Linked DNA regions of Alligator mississippiensis. The protein of the gene in region 2 purifies or fractionates together with the protein of the main gene of each other region. This does not show direct contact. Links are inferred from orthologs where the notes say so. Each region holds a gene or a part of one and is shown on either strand. Other genes may lie near its edges.

Region 1 (7,857 bases), on a different chromosome or scaffold from region 2:
TTATTAAAGACTTTATTAACATGTTTTAAAACCAGTTTATGGAAAGTAATAAGTCTTTGTTTTCTTCAGGGGTTGGCTTTCATTGAAAGAGTAGCTGAAGCTGGGGCTGCATGACTTGAAATACTACATTGGTCAGGACAAGGAAGAGATCAGAGAAGAACAGGCAGAGAAGCGGAAGAAAAGGAATGGATACACTTGTTTCACTAAACTGACAGAGGGAACCGACAGGACAGATGGAGAGTTTCAGATGGTTGCTGAGGTAGTAGTTTCATGGGGTTCTGCATGAAGAAAGAGTTCTGTAAGGGACTTTTTTGTGAGAAGTCGATATATGTTTCATAGTAGCTAGGGTCAGGAGGAACCTGAACAGGTCATCTAGCCTGACCCCCTGCCACAGGCAGGAATGAATGCTGGGTTCACAAGACCCCAGACAGGTGATCGTCCAACATCCTCTTGAATTTGCCCAAGGTAGGGGCGAGGACCACTTCCCTGGGAAGTTGGTTCCAGGTTTTGGCCACCCTAACTGTAAAATATTGCCTTCTGATCTCTAACCTAAACCTGTTCTCCATCAGCTTATTACCATTGTTCCTTGTCACCCCAGGTGGTGCTGGGGAGCAAAGGGCTCTAACCTTTTTGCTGTTGATCTCCCCTGATGAGTTTGTAGGCAGCCACCAGGTCTCCCCTCAGCCTCCTCTTGCTGAGGCTGAACAGGTTCAGGTCCCTCAGTCTCTCCTCATCCGGCCTGTCCTGCTGCCCTCTCACCAAGCCACTGGGTGGCCCTCCTCTGAACCCTCACCAGGCTGGCCACATCCCTTTTGAAGTGCGGCGCCCAGTACTAGATGCAGTACTCCAACTGCGGCCTGACCAAAGTCGCATAGAGGGGGAGTATCACCTCTCTGGACCAGCTTGAGACGCACCTTTGGATGCATGACAAGGTATGGCTAGCTTTGCTGGCTGTGGTCTGGCACTGGTGGCTCATGTTCATCTTGGAGTCAATAATGATAAGGGTGTTTCTAATTTTTATTTTTTTTATTCTTTAACAAAAATATTCCGTGTGTGTTTGCCCACTATAGGCCACATGTTTTATAGCCAAGCCATGCTCAGTGTTGGCTGCATTTAATCATTGTCCCCCATGCTCATTGAGGAAAAAGCCTAGCCCTGCATTAGAGTAAACCTTTATCTTGTATTTGAATAAATAAGGATTTTTGTTTTCTTTTAAAATCTCAGAGCACTGTATACTGTTTACCTCATTTCTCCACCCAATAACAAAGATAATGATCATTTCCATTTACAAATGGGGAAAAAAAAGCATAAACAAGTGAAGTGATTTACTCAAGGTCCCTTGGAAAGTTAGCGACAGAGCTAAGAGTGAACCCAAGAATCCCAGGTCTTAGTCCTCTGCTCTAATAATTAAATCAAATGGTGTTATTAAGTAAAGTCAAGGGCTTGCGGGGGCAGGGGCACAGCTTGAGGCTCCCGCAGTGAGGGAGGGAGGGAGGGAGGGCTGGGGCAGGTGCTGCACAGTCAGGGCAGTGTGGGGTGCAGGATGGATCTGTGGCTCATCCGGGGGGCTACAGAGGGGTGCGACTCCTGCTGCAGCTTGCACCCCGGGGGAGGCATGGGGGGCATGTGTCCCCTGAATCTGTGCATGGGGTGAGGGTGGGCTGGGGCCAGAGGCTGAGCCAGGGTCTTCCCAGTGGGAGGGGCTGGACCGGCTGCCAACCGGACATTGTGATGAGATATAAACAAGTAACAAAGCCACAGGATCATAGCTTTTTTGACCCCTATATCCCTATAGGTTTATTAGTTAGTGCTGAGACAGGCAAATGTCTCCCAATTTCCCTCCCTTCACTCTTGAAGATGAAAATTACACATCCTTGAGTTAGTCGATAAGGTGCATCTCTACTCTGCCTTCTGTACTACGGTTGTACTGTTTAAGTGTTTTTCCAAGGGGGTCACCTGGGGAACATAACTGATGGCTATACCTGTACATAATCTGTGTACAGGTCCAGGCTTAACATATACTGCAATAGGTGGAAGGAAGCACACTAATGCAACAGCATAATGGGATGGGGGAGCGGCGCACAAATGTATTTAATACTAACTAAGCCAGCTTTCTGCAAGCCCTCCGGCTTCCCCTGCTTAACACACTCCTTCCGACCCGGCCAGCAGAGAGTTTCATGCTCTGCATGAAACAGGAGACTAACTCAGATCCAGGAGACAAACAGATCTACATTAAGTGATCTCCATGCCCACAGGAGCAATCACCTAAAGCAGCAGCAGAAGCGCTTCTGTTCCCACCTTCGTATGAGAGCCTTGTTGCTCCCATATCTCAGCTGAAGATGGCAGTGGAGCTGAGCCCATGGGAAGAGGAGCACCAGGCTCTCCTGCGAGCAAATGCAGAAGGCGCTGGTGAGGGTGGGGGTTACCCCGATGAAGCAGGAACCGAGGCGGCTGCAGGAAGAAGCTCCCATGACAAGGGCTCACAAGGAGTTTCAGCGCCGCGGTACAGGGTGCAGCCCAGCAACTGAGGGCACAGGCCGGCCCTGGCGGAGCGGGGAGAAGAGCCCGGCCGGGAGGCGCAGAGGGAAGGGGCTACGTGCAGCCGTTACCTCAATGATCTTGATGAAGCGCGGGAAGACCGGGTTCCGGGTCACGGCGATGAGCGGCACGTTGGGGAAGTGCTCGGGGATGAGCAGCGGGGTGAGCGCGGTCATGACCGGCCCCGCCCCGCCGCCGTTGCCCCCCGCGGCCCCATCCTCGGCCCCGCCGCCCTCCAGCCCGTCGCCGCCGCCGCCCAGGCTGCTGAGGCCCCGCATGTACCGCCGGGGGCCGAGGCTCGAGGCGACGAGGGGAGAGGAACACGGAGGACTCGGCGCCCACGGCGATGCGGAGGAACACGCCGCGTAGACCCGCCGCCGCGCCGCCCCGAGCGAGGGAAGGACCCCGCGCAGCCCCGGCCGCCAGCACCGCCACACGGACAAGCAGCGCGCCGCCGCCATCTTGCCCGCGCGCCGGGAACACGTACTTCCGCCCACGAGGCGGCGCACGCGAATGACGCCCCCTCCCCCTCGCGTGGGGGCGCCGGTTCCGTCCGAGCGCGGCCGAACGTGTGCGCGCAGGCGCGCGAGGGCCGGGACTGCCGGGGGCGGGGCCAAGCCGCGGGCTGCGGTTCGTCGTTTCCGGCTGCTCCGTCCCGGGGGCTGCCCGCGGCGTGGGCCTGCGTGCTCGGCGCCGCGTCACGTGTCCCGCGGGGCCCCGCCCGTCCGTGGCGCGCGCGGGACACCCGTCGCCTCGCTGTGGTGCGGGCGGTGCCTCCGCGGCCTTCCCGCTGCGCTGGGCTCGGGCTCGGACTCCGGGGCCCCGGGCACGGGTCGCCAGCTGCGCGTCAGCCCTTCGGTGATCCCGAGCCTGGTCCTGCCCCGCAGCCTCTCCCCACCCTGCACCACAGGCCTGACTCGTGACCCCTAATGATTTGTTTTCTATCTACTGGTAAAACACGTGGTTAACCCAGAGTTCAGGTTAACTTGGTCATGAGTTGTACCCTTTCCAAGCGCTGTATGTGCGCTTCGATCTCTTAAAAGGGGAAACGGAGCTGAAGTAGGATAAGGTTACAATAACACGTTGTTAGGTCATTGCGGCAGTTGTCCCTGTGCTTTACCTGCAGCAGGTTAGGGCACTTTGCAGTTGTGCAAGAAGCTGTGAGGCATTTGGGGAGGATGGGAGGCTAATTTGTGGCACAGCTGCCAAAAAGGTGGGCCCTGCTGCCCCACAGCATGGACATGGCATCTTCAAGCTGAAGCCAGAGCTGCCGGCAGCAGCTGTAATCCCTGCTCCAAGTGCTCCTACTTCCATGGACCTCAGGTTGCACTACCTCAGTGTTTGGTAGCGAGCCAAAAAGACTGGGTGTTGGTGAATCAGTGCTGCCTGTGCTCCCAAACGCACTCCACCAACACCATGGTGGGGCTGATTAGTTTACTAACAGGAGGTGTCCTGGCCCCGGCCTCCGCTCTCCTGCAACACTCCAGCCCCCTCCCGAGCCTTCTGGAGGGCTTCTGTCAGGCCGTGTTGGTGTCGTATGCCAAGTCCCTACAGTTCACAAATGGCAGAAATGGCCCTTCAGATGCTGGGGCCAACATATCTATAAGCTGTCTATAAGCCAACGTACAGCTGATTTCCAATAACTAGCTGTTGACACCAATGGAATGGAGCTGCTTCGTTCTTCCACTTCCACCAGGGACCGAGCGAGGAGGTGAACCTGCGTTCAGAGGGACCATTGCCTATCTATGGAGACTGGAGTGGGCAAGGACCCTAAGAGGGTGACACTAACCCGTGAACGCTACTTCCTTGCTCTCCTTGAATTAACTTCCCCAGAAGCAAATGCAAGTTGACCAGGCAGTCCCTCTTGAACAAGGCAGAAAAGGGCAGAAGGTGATCAGCGGATCTCTGTACTGCAGCAACCCAGGCCACTTCACAATTGCTTATCTTTTCCTGGGAAAGACCCACCATTAGGAAACAGTAGCCTAGTTGGGCCCAGGCTGGGTGGTGTACACACCCCTCAACATCTCTACCATCTTGATGCCTTTCCCTCAAAAAGCTGGGGCCAGTGTAGGCCGCTGCTGCATCTGAAAACTGAAAGCTTGGATGGGTGTACAAGACAATGGCTGGGGCAAGACGGGATTGCGGTAACAAGACTGCCACAAGAAAAAAAAAAGAAAAAAATATCAAACTCCGCTAATGGCTTGCAACCCATTAGGCGTCAAGACAGTGGAGTGCTTGTGGTACCCAATACCAGACCCATGCCATAAAGTAATAAAAATAAAGGTAAAATTGTTTGCAGAGTCCTAACACACTCATCACGTGTATTTCCAAGCTAAGAGAGCCAAAGGAAAAGCTGGGCCAGTGAGCCAGTAAAGGCAAAGAAACTACATATGCATTTCAATTGACCTAGAAGCTAAAGAAGACAAAAGGCTAAATACACATCTCAAAAGAAACCTGTAAAAGGTGCATTGAATATAGTGATGTAGGTTGTAGCCCTGTTGGTCTAAGGACATAGGCAGACAAGGTTCTTTGAGTGAATCTGATATCTTTTGTTAGACCAACTTAAATAGTTGGAAAACAATTATTAAGCAAGCTTTCAAGTTCAAAAACCCTTCATTGGGCTAAGGAAGTTTCTGCAGTTGGTGTGTGCTCTTCCTGGATGGAATGAAAAAGTAAAGAAGCCAGAGCCTGGGCTGGTATGCATACAAGACAGGTAGTCAGTGAAAATGTAGATTGAGGAGTCAATGGGTGAGAGGTTGGAGGGGCGGCGGGGGGGGGGTAACGTCCATGATTATGTCTATATTTAGTCCATGATTTCTCACAAGAAAGCCACTCTCTCTCCAATCTCTCAGTCCTGATCCTCAAAGGAAACTTACACAACACTTCCCAGAGACGAGCCTATGAACTCCACTTCATCAACCTGCTGGATACTAAAAATCATGGACTAATTATAGACATTGGATTTATGACACATTATAACCTGCCTGACATCTGACTCCCCAGGTATCTTTCCACTATTCATCCCCCTTTTCTCTTCTCCCCCCCTCCCCCCCTCCAGCTTGTCTCTCACCCATTGACTCCTCAATTTACATTTTCACTGACTACCTGTCTTGCATGCATACCAGCCCAGCCTCTGGCTTCTTTACTTTTTCATTCCATCCAGGAAGCGCACACACCAACTGCTGAAATTTCCTTAGCCTGACGAAGGGTTTTTGAACCCAAAGCTTGCTTAATAATTGTTTTCCAACTAATTAAGTTGGTCTAATAAAAGATACCACATTCACCCAAAGAACCTTGTCTGCTTGAATATAGAGAGGATGTTCTGTACTGACATCCTCAGATTTCTCAAAACAGGCATCAAATGTCACTCTAAGGTGTTACAATGTCTCGATCATTATAGAACTCCAGACATACCATGAAACAGAACATCAGCGATATAAGCTACTGCACATTTGCCCCATTGATGTACAAATACCCAAAGACAGGTTTGTTGACGCCTCTAAGGATCCTGTTGGAGTAGTCAAACCCATCACCTGTAAATTGACCTTTAATTGCAGGGGCTGCAGAAAAACACAGTTTTCACACCTAGACAAATCAAGAACAAGTGCCAGGAAATTAGCAGTCGTGTTATGATGATCAACCTGTTGCTCCCTGTTTGTTTGGACTCTAAATCAGCCAACCATCAAGAAAAAATGCTTTGAAGCTATACAATGAAACAGTATGAAAAACTAAACAGATTTGCCAGCAAGGTGTGTGCAGTCCAGACCAAGCTATCCTGCCACCCAGCTGACAAGTGAAGGATCCAAGCTTTGAGGCTATACAAGATCTGCTTCCTGCCTGCATTGGGTAAATATCTTTGTGCAGATAAGATAATACTAAGGAATAATAGCTTGTTTTATATTGAGAAAGTGTCTTTTCTGTTATTTAGTTGTGTAGCTTGTTGGTAGTTATTAAAACAAGCCTTTCTGCTATTTATCAACCTAGTGTTGTGTCAATTCATAAAACACTAAGTTAGGAATTTGGTTTCTAAGTCCAACAGCCACTAGGGCTGTGCGAGGCTTCGGACCGTGCTTTGGATCCGGAGAAGTTTCGGATGCTTCGGCGTCTGAAGTAACATGTCCGGATTGAAGCGCTGGCTTCTTTAGGCTTTCCGAAGTGGTTCGGAGCTTCTGAACTGCTTCGGAAAATCTTCAGAGCCGCCTTGAAGATCTAGCCATAGGGTATAATGGGGAATCAATGGAATATCTATAACCTTGTTGCTTTTTGTCTGATTTGGATGAAACTGGCAGGGGTGGTAGCCTCTGCTGAGAACATGATACCTGCCAAATTTCAAGAAGATCGGTTTAGGAGTTCTGGGGGAACTGCACCCCAAATTCTTGAAAGCAAAACTCATGTCACATGTATGTGTTACACCATGGGGGTGGGGGAGGTGGGGGTGAAAACTGCAGGAGTGGTGGCCCCTACAGAGGCCACAAAGCCCGCCAAGTTTCAAGGAGATAGGTGCAGGGGTTTGGAGGAAACTGCACCTCAAGCTGCGGACAAGCAAAACCCATGACAATAATCCTTGCTAATTAACTCGTTAACACCTAATTAACACCTACAAAACCACAGACTAAAGAGAGAAAATAATCAATACAGACAACCAATTGCCCCAAGACAGAGACAGTCAGTTGCACCAGCACCCATGTCACATGTTTTGCCTGTCAGCAGCTAGAGGTGCCGGGCCCCATGGGCCCATCACATTGCCATGGATGGGGATGCCCAGGCCACCACAGGCCCATCATGCTCCCATGGATGGGCGGGGGGGGCAGAACCCAGAAGCCCTGCACCCATCTCCTTGACAGCTGGCAGGTTTTGTGGCCTGAGCAGGGACTACCATCCCTGCAGCTTTCACCCCGCTGCGCCTTAACACACACAGTGTCACCCATGTCACAAGTTTTGCTTGTCCACAGCTTGAGGTGCAGTTCTCCCTGAAGGCCTGCACTTATCTCTTTGAAACTTGGCAGGCTTTGTGGCCTCACCAGGGGCTAGCACCCCTGCACTTTTTACCCCCCGTAGAGTAATACATACATGTGACATGAGTTTTGCTTTCAAGAATTTGGGGTGCAGTTCCCCCAGAACCCCTACACAGATCTTTTTGAAGCTTGGCAGGCTTCATGCTCTCAGCAGAGGCCACCCCTGCCAGTTTCATCCAAACTGGACAAAAAACAACAAAGTTATAGATATTTCATTGATTCCCCATTTTACCCTATGGCCAGATCTCAGGCAGCTCTGAAGCTTCGGAGCCGCTTTGGCTGGGTCAAAGCAGGAACCCAGTCT
Region 2 (7,059 bases):
CACCACCAGTTTAAAACGATACAACCTTAAGTACCACCAGCAAATTTTGGCATATAAAGTAATTATAATAAATCTGTTAATGCATACCGCTGACAGGTTGTCTGCATACTACTGGTGGTATACATACCACAGTTTGGGAACAGCTGGTCTCATCGTATTGTCTATGGATAACCAAATGAGTACTTGGGAGGTGGCTGCATTATACTGTAATATAATACTCAAATACTCCCTTTGAATCATACATTTTTTTGATAATATCTCCTTGGACAAATATATCTGTTAATCTGGCATCCTTTCCTGTAATACAGTGTGCAGCCTTTAATGTATGCTTAGGTTTCTTCAGATGGATGCACATCTTCCTTACAACTTGATCCTTTACCTTGGGTCTCTTATTGAAGAAATTCTTCTACTTTCCCTCTCAGTTTAATTCTATTTCTCTATTTGATACTATCAGCTTCATTTAGGTTGAATCTTACATTGTAATAACACGCAATGTAAATATTGAGCATCTCTGAAGCAAGCTATGAATGAATTTTGCTCTTAGTTACAGCTGTACAATCCATGGATGTTGGTAAAGTTGCTTGGTTGTAACTAAGTGCACAGTTTGGCTCAACATGGTTCTTCTTCACTATTTACAAGATCTAATTGCAATACAGGAAATATGAGAATAAAATACAGAACACCGAAGCTCTGTTGTGCAAAACTAATTAGCAACCTTTTCATTCCATCGAGGAAGAGCATGCAGCAACTGCTGCAGCGTCCTTAGCCTGACGAAGGGTTTTTGAACCTGAAAGCTTGCTTAATAACTATTCTCCAACCATTTGGGTTGGTCTAATAAAAGATATCAAATTCACCCAAGGAACCTTGTCTGCCTAATTAGCAACCTGATACTCTTTAAAAAGGCATTAAAATAATGATTGTAAAGATATATGGTTAAAGACACATGTTCAAGCCACTTTTTTTCCCTAAGCTAATGGAATTAAATACAATAGTGTTTCCATTGTTTAGATACGCCACTGATTAACATAAGCTAACCAAATCAAAAGTAAATATTATGAAGAAAAGTACTTGGTAGCAGTGTGACAGTGATGCAGAAAATGTGTCATAAGGGGAAGTTAAGTTATATCTGTTGGCTACTACTTTTGCAGTGCAGTGTTGTGTTTCTACAGGTCGTGATATAGAAAAGAATTGCCTATAGCAAATTAGCACCAAAGTCCCAAATCGCCATCTCATTGCCAACTTCAGTTCCTCTTTCATGGAACTCCTATTTGCCCATAACAGTTCTTAGAATGTCTACATTCCTTACAGTTTCTACAGCACCTTGAAAAGTATAATGTAATAATCCTCACAACAGCCATAAAAGGGAAATATTAACCCCATTTTACAGAAGGGGAAGTTGAGACACCAGGTAGTTAAATGGCCTCTCTACTACAATACTGAGAATCAATGACAGAATCGAGACCAAGAAGTAGGAATGTCTAGCTTCCAATTATATGCTTAGCTTGCAAGACCAGCCTTCCTTTCAACTGAAGTTGTCGTGGGACAAGACTCATACCCACCCACCCCCCAGCAAACAAAAAAATAACCCAAATGATTTAACTAAAAGTAGATTCCAGTGTAAACTGAATGGCATTTCTTAGTGGTGGAAAATAACAAATGTACTTGCTTGCCTTGCTGCTGTTTCTCCAGGGCTGGGTTTATTACTCATTTATTAAGTACTTAATAAAATGACAGGATTTGTACAACACATATTAATTATCAATGCAATGGTGTATAAACAACTGGTTACATATATGCCCAGTGCTAAGTGTATAGGGATGTCATTTAGTAGTTTAATTATATTGCTTTACTATTCTACTATTATATTTTATTTGCTATACAATAGATAGTAAATATTATGGATATCACAGTAACGCAGTATAAGCAAAGTACTAAATCTGTATAATTTATACACTATTTAATGTCTTGTCTGAGGAGGAAAATAGAAATAACAGACATGAGGCTTGATTCAAATTCCTTAGGGACATGACATTTTTACAGATTTTTTTTTTTTTAGGGGAAATTTTGATTTCTGTGAAAGGCAAAGGCCCCTATCCAGAAGACAAGTGGAAGCAGGAACATATATTTATACTATGGTAAAAAACTATTAGTCTGAAGTAAGGCCAGTGGCAAAGAGATTCTGAGTTTCCTGTGGAATAAGTGATGCACAGAAACAGTGGCATTTTTCTTAACTTTGTCCTCCTGTGTCACCAACTTTTTTAAGTAGTGGGGGTAAACGTACATGCAACGTGAGCAGGATCCATCCTGCAGAAGGCAGTGGCAAAACTCCAGTCCACTTGAGTGAGAGTAGGAGCTGGTACTGTGTCCTAATCTTTTAAATCATTAACTTCAGAAGGTAATTATTGACAAACTTGGCTTCTTCCCCCTGGGTCAGCTCCTTCTCCAAGCTTCTTAGCATTTTTTATTTCAACCTTTAGTAACACTCTATTTTGGAAGTGATGAAAACCAAGACTAATTTATCCTGTAGCTCCAATCACCCACAATTACCTTTTATCAGGTTTCTTCTCTCCCCCACCCCCTTTCTCTGATAAAGTTCTGGGCCAGCTGCTGCTATTCTCTCCTTGTAACCAGCATGATATAGCATTGCCTTTCTGCCAGCACACCTAGGCATGCACCTGAGGGAAGGGAAGGGAGTTTGATTTCCCTGGCACAAGTGGAAGGCAGGAGTCACTCCACTCAAGCCAAACTAGTTACCCATTCCCACTGGGGTTGCAGGTAGCCTCTGATATAGCCAGGGAAGGCACCAGCTCTGTGACTGGCTGAGTGAGGCAGTGGGGTCTGAGAGGTGGCTGGAATTTCACTGGTGGCTCTAGGCTGGTGATTCTCCATTGGAGGGAGAGATCCTCTCTACTGCTGTTGGGTGGGCAAACATAATTAGAAACCCAGAGGCTTCAATGATGAACCTGCAGGGCTAAACCTTGCCTGCCCTGTTGGGACCTGCTTGCCCTCTTTGCAACAGAAAAACAGTAGCAATAAGAGTAACATTGTATGCGTGACAGACCAGAAGTGATGTGAGGAGGCAAGGATTTCTGCAGGCGATCTGTTTTATTGGAGCAGCTATGGAGCTGGGATAGAATTAGACAAGATTTCAGACCTCCTTCCTGATCCTCCCCTATTCCTCCCCCTTTGATAGGCCTTGATCTCCCAGGACTTGGGTGCTTTTATCTGCTCAGTGTGTCTGCTAGACCTGCACATTTCCCCTCACCCCTCCTCTAGGATGCCTATATTCAAAGACCTAAGGAAGGTGGTCTTAAACTGGAAAGCTTCAGGGTTTGAATTACCGGGGGAGCTCCATGGCTGAGCCACCCCATAAGAGACAGAAGCCCCCCCACCCTGTAAGAGTTGAAAATCATAACTTGAGGGGAGGGTCTTCGTTTTTATTATAGCATCATGATAGGCACCCCAATTTTTTTTTTCCAGCCCCCTCCAAGAGTCAAAGTGTAATCCAGACCCTGGAAAGCTTGCCTCCCTTCATTCCGGGTGGGGGGGGGGGCAAGAAAAATATCCCCCTAGGAAATCCTGCCTAACAGGTTTGAAAGGGCACGAGGAAGCAGGGGAGGTCGCCAGAGCTGTGCTGTGAATTGGGACTGCCTTTGTGTCCCTAACCCCTATGGCTTTTCTATACAAATGTGGGAAGTCCCAATTGCAGCTGGTGCCTGTTTCTGGGAATGCAGGGTTGGCACCTCTCTTCCCCCTAGGAAGTCCTTCCTTTTGCAAGAGAACTGCTCTGTTTTCGGTCTGTGGTGGCTAAGGAAGAGCTTTTCTTGAGCGCGGGGTGGGGGCTCCAAGGGAGAGGCGCCTTGAGGGGCATGAGAGCCAGCTCCAGGCCCGGGCAAGCCGGGCCGCCTTCCGTCAGAGCTGGCCGGGAGAGGGCGCCGAGGCGCCCGGAACAGGGGGCAAAGCCCTGCTGCCCCCGAGGAGGAGCTTGTCCCCGGCTCCACCCCGCCAGGTGAGGCAGGCGGTGGGGGTGGCACCTGGCGGGGCAGCAGCGCCAGCGTCCCCGCCCCGCCGGCAGCAGGGGAAAGTTTTGGCGAGCGAGGCGGCCCGGGCGGAGCTCCCGGCGGAGGAAGACCGCAGCCACCCCCGGCCCGACCCAGCGCCCGCGTGGGGCCGGCGGCTGCGACCCGCAGCTCCCCCCTCTCCAGCCCAGCCCAGCAGCAGCGCCGCCTCCTCCCGAGTCCGTGCCCGCCCCCCTGCAGCATGGGCAGTGCAGTGGCGGCCGCCGGGAGCCCGGGCGCGCGGGGCTGAGAGCAGCAGCACCAGCCACGGGATTACAGCAGCAGCAGCGGCAGCGCCGGGATGCGGGACAGCAGGAGCCGCCGCCTGGGCGCAGGAGCCAGAGCCGGCCGGGCCGGGGCAGCCGCTATCCTGCTGCTGCTGCTCGGGCCGTGCTCCGCCGTGGAGGAGAAGAAAGGTGCGTGCAGCCCCCCAGCCGCGGGCTCCCCCCCTCGTGTGGCTCGAGGCCCCCCAGGCGGGACCCCCCATCCCTCGTTACGTTCTGTTCCCCCTGTGTTATCCTCGCTAAGTTCTGCCCCCTCTTGGAACGCTCGCTACGTTCTATTCCCCCCGCCCCGCGAACTCTCACTACGTTCTATCCCCCCCGCGGAATGCTCGCGGCGTTCTATTCCGAGCCCTTTTGGAACCCTCGCTACGTTCTGTTCCTTCCCCTCGGAACGCTCGCCGCGTTCTATATCCGCCTCTTGGAACCTTGGCTGAGTTCTGCTCCTGGCCGAGGGGCGAGCGCTACGCGCGCCGGCTGTCTTTATGAATGAGCCGCGCGTCTCTGGCGGGCTGTCAGCTGGGCGCGTGTGTGTGCGTGTCCCTGAGCGGGCCCGGGCGGTTGTGACAGGGGCTGAGGCTTCCATGGGGAACCGGTTGCAAGGCAGGAGGAGGGGGAAGAGTCCCTGGCTGGTCCGGCTGGCTCTTTTGTAAGAGCAGGCAGAGCAGCTTCGGTTCCAGGCAGAGGCGTCTTTATCTTGAACATCTGCCAAACACTTAAAAAAAAATAAAACTTTTTTTTTTTTTTTAAAGGAAAAAGCCGGGAAGGAGGGGGGAGGGGACACTTGTGGTTTTTATAAGGTCTGATGTGGGAGCTGGGCTCAAGGGGATCTGCATCTTGTGCCTGGCAAAACCATCGGGCAAAGGAGAACCCCACCTTTTTTGAAACTACTTACTAGTTGCCCTATTTGAATCCCTCAGGAGTGAGTTCATACCCGCTGTGGATATAACAAGGGCAGGTTATTTTCCCTCCTCCCCTCCTCCTCTCCCCCCTCTTTTTCCTTCCCCCTTTTCCCCCTTTTTCCTCCCTTCATTTTCCCCCCTCAACTTTTTTTTTTTAAATGAAGTAAGTGGTCTCTGCGCTGTGGCCCAGAGAAAACTCTTATCTGAGTTGCAGAGACTCTACCGGATATATATATCCCTATGGATAAACACTATAGCTTACATGCTGTTTAAAGCAAGCTTGCAAAAATCAGGTAGTAGTTGTCTTATGATTATAACGGGTTGGCAGTAAGGAAATGGGGACCAGCAGGATTTATTCTCAATGTGCTTGGTTTGGCAATAGCTCTTTGAGTCTGAAAGAGATCAAGACCTAACGTTGTTAAAAGGCAGTACTTCTTTTGGATGTCCTGTTGGCTCAGTTCATTTTTCACTGTAATGTACAGTCACTAAAGACTAGTAGGAAAGTGCTTGTTTGCGCTGCTGTTGAAGTAAATAATAAAACTACCATTGAAATTAGTAATGCAGGAATCCTGCCTTACTTGAGAATTGTAAAATAATAACTCCAAATGTTAATTCTAAGTTGTCAGAGGAAGGTTGAACCAATGTTCTTTAAGACTCCCAAACTTACCTCCTCAAAATCCTGTTGGCCTTTTGAACCCATGGACCCTGAAATGCAAAATGCAGTCGCATTGTCATGAACCTGCCCAGCAGTAGAAAATGATGAAGTGTTATAATAAACTTTTTTGGACATATGTTTTCAGTTGGAAATACTTGCAACTAAACCCATTAACAGTTTTATTTGAACATCACTACATACAAAGAGCTGATGTCTCAAAAAAGGATGCTAACACAATGTTTGTTAGAAAATTATTGAAAATGGACAAGACTTAAATTTGTTTTGATCACGGAGATCACTTTTAATAATAGTTTTTATCTTTTTCCAAAATGTTTGAAGAAAAAAACCCTTAAATATGGCCGGGGGAACAACGAAATACTTTGTGATGCTGCTGTGCTTTAAAAAACAAACAGGAATTGTGCACGTTCTGAAACCAAGCAAGATGTGGTTCTTGAAGGCTTTTATGGATTGATTAGGATTAGTCTGTAGCTTGCATACAATAGTATAAACTGAAATTATCACAATAAAATTCATTTGGTCTTTCCCTAATGCATGGATGAGATCAGAAGCTGCTGGGTGGCAATAGGAACAATATTTACTGTCTAGGGAAGCTGATCAATGGTAACTTGGAGTGTAACTGTTCAGTGGTAGCACAATTCAAATAAAGTGCTTTTCACTCTTGTATCATCAGTTTTGTGCTGGTAATTTTTATTTTCTGTTTTTGGCTATTCTACTGTGCACTGTAGCAGGGTGGATCTGACAAATCAAATCCATTTAAATCCTGATTTAAAACACAATTTAAATCATGCATCAGAAGTCTCGATTTAATCATTGTTTTCTACAAAAAGTGCATTCTTGTTGTTTGATATCCTTTATTAATTGAACTTCTTGAAACTTTGCACTTTTAGAGAAAGGTAAGGGCCTGACTGTGTGTGTACACACTTGCAGAGAGACAGAGGGCTGATGGGTAGGTAATCAGGTTTGTTATCTCTCATCTCCATATACTGCTGTTAACAAGGATGTTATCTCTGGAGACAACAAACTCAGTCTTATGCCTGAAGAAGGGCAGTTATGCCCAAAGGTTTGCAAAGAACAATTTTTCCAACTATTTAGTTGGTCTAATAAAAGATAGCACATCTGCCCAAAGAACCTTGTCTGCCTAT

What was found.
Region 1: the proteins of EGFR (region 2) and LONP1 purify together in Homo sapiens (affinity purification with mass spectrometry; 3 studies listed by BioGRID and IntAct, with this or other methods). This does not show direct contact. The link is inferred for Alligator mississippiensis from reciprocal best matches to the Homo sapiens genes EGFR and LONP1.

The regions. Positions count from the first base shown.
Region 1 is NC_081839.1:11,905,062-11,912,918, forward strand, and holds the start of LONP1 (lon protease homolog, mitochondrial), read right to left. Parts: upstream 3,020-7,857; 5' UTR 3,000-3,019; coding exon 2,610-2,999; intron 1-2,609. UniProt on the Homo sapiens protein: ATP-dependent serine protease that mediates the selective degradation of misfolded, unassembled or oxidatively damaged polypeptides as well as certain short-lived regulatory proteins in the mitochondrial matrix.
Region 2 is NC_081828.1:121,541,042-121,548,100, forward strand, and holds the start of EGFR (epidermal growth factor receptor), read left to right. Parts: upstream 1-4,059; 5' UTR 4,060-4,359; coding exon 4,360-4,474; intron 4,475-7,059. UniProt on the Homo sapiens protein: Receptor tyrosine kinase binding ligands of the EGF family and activating several signaling cascades to convert extracellular cues into appropriate cellular responses.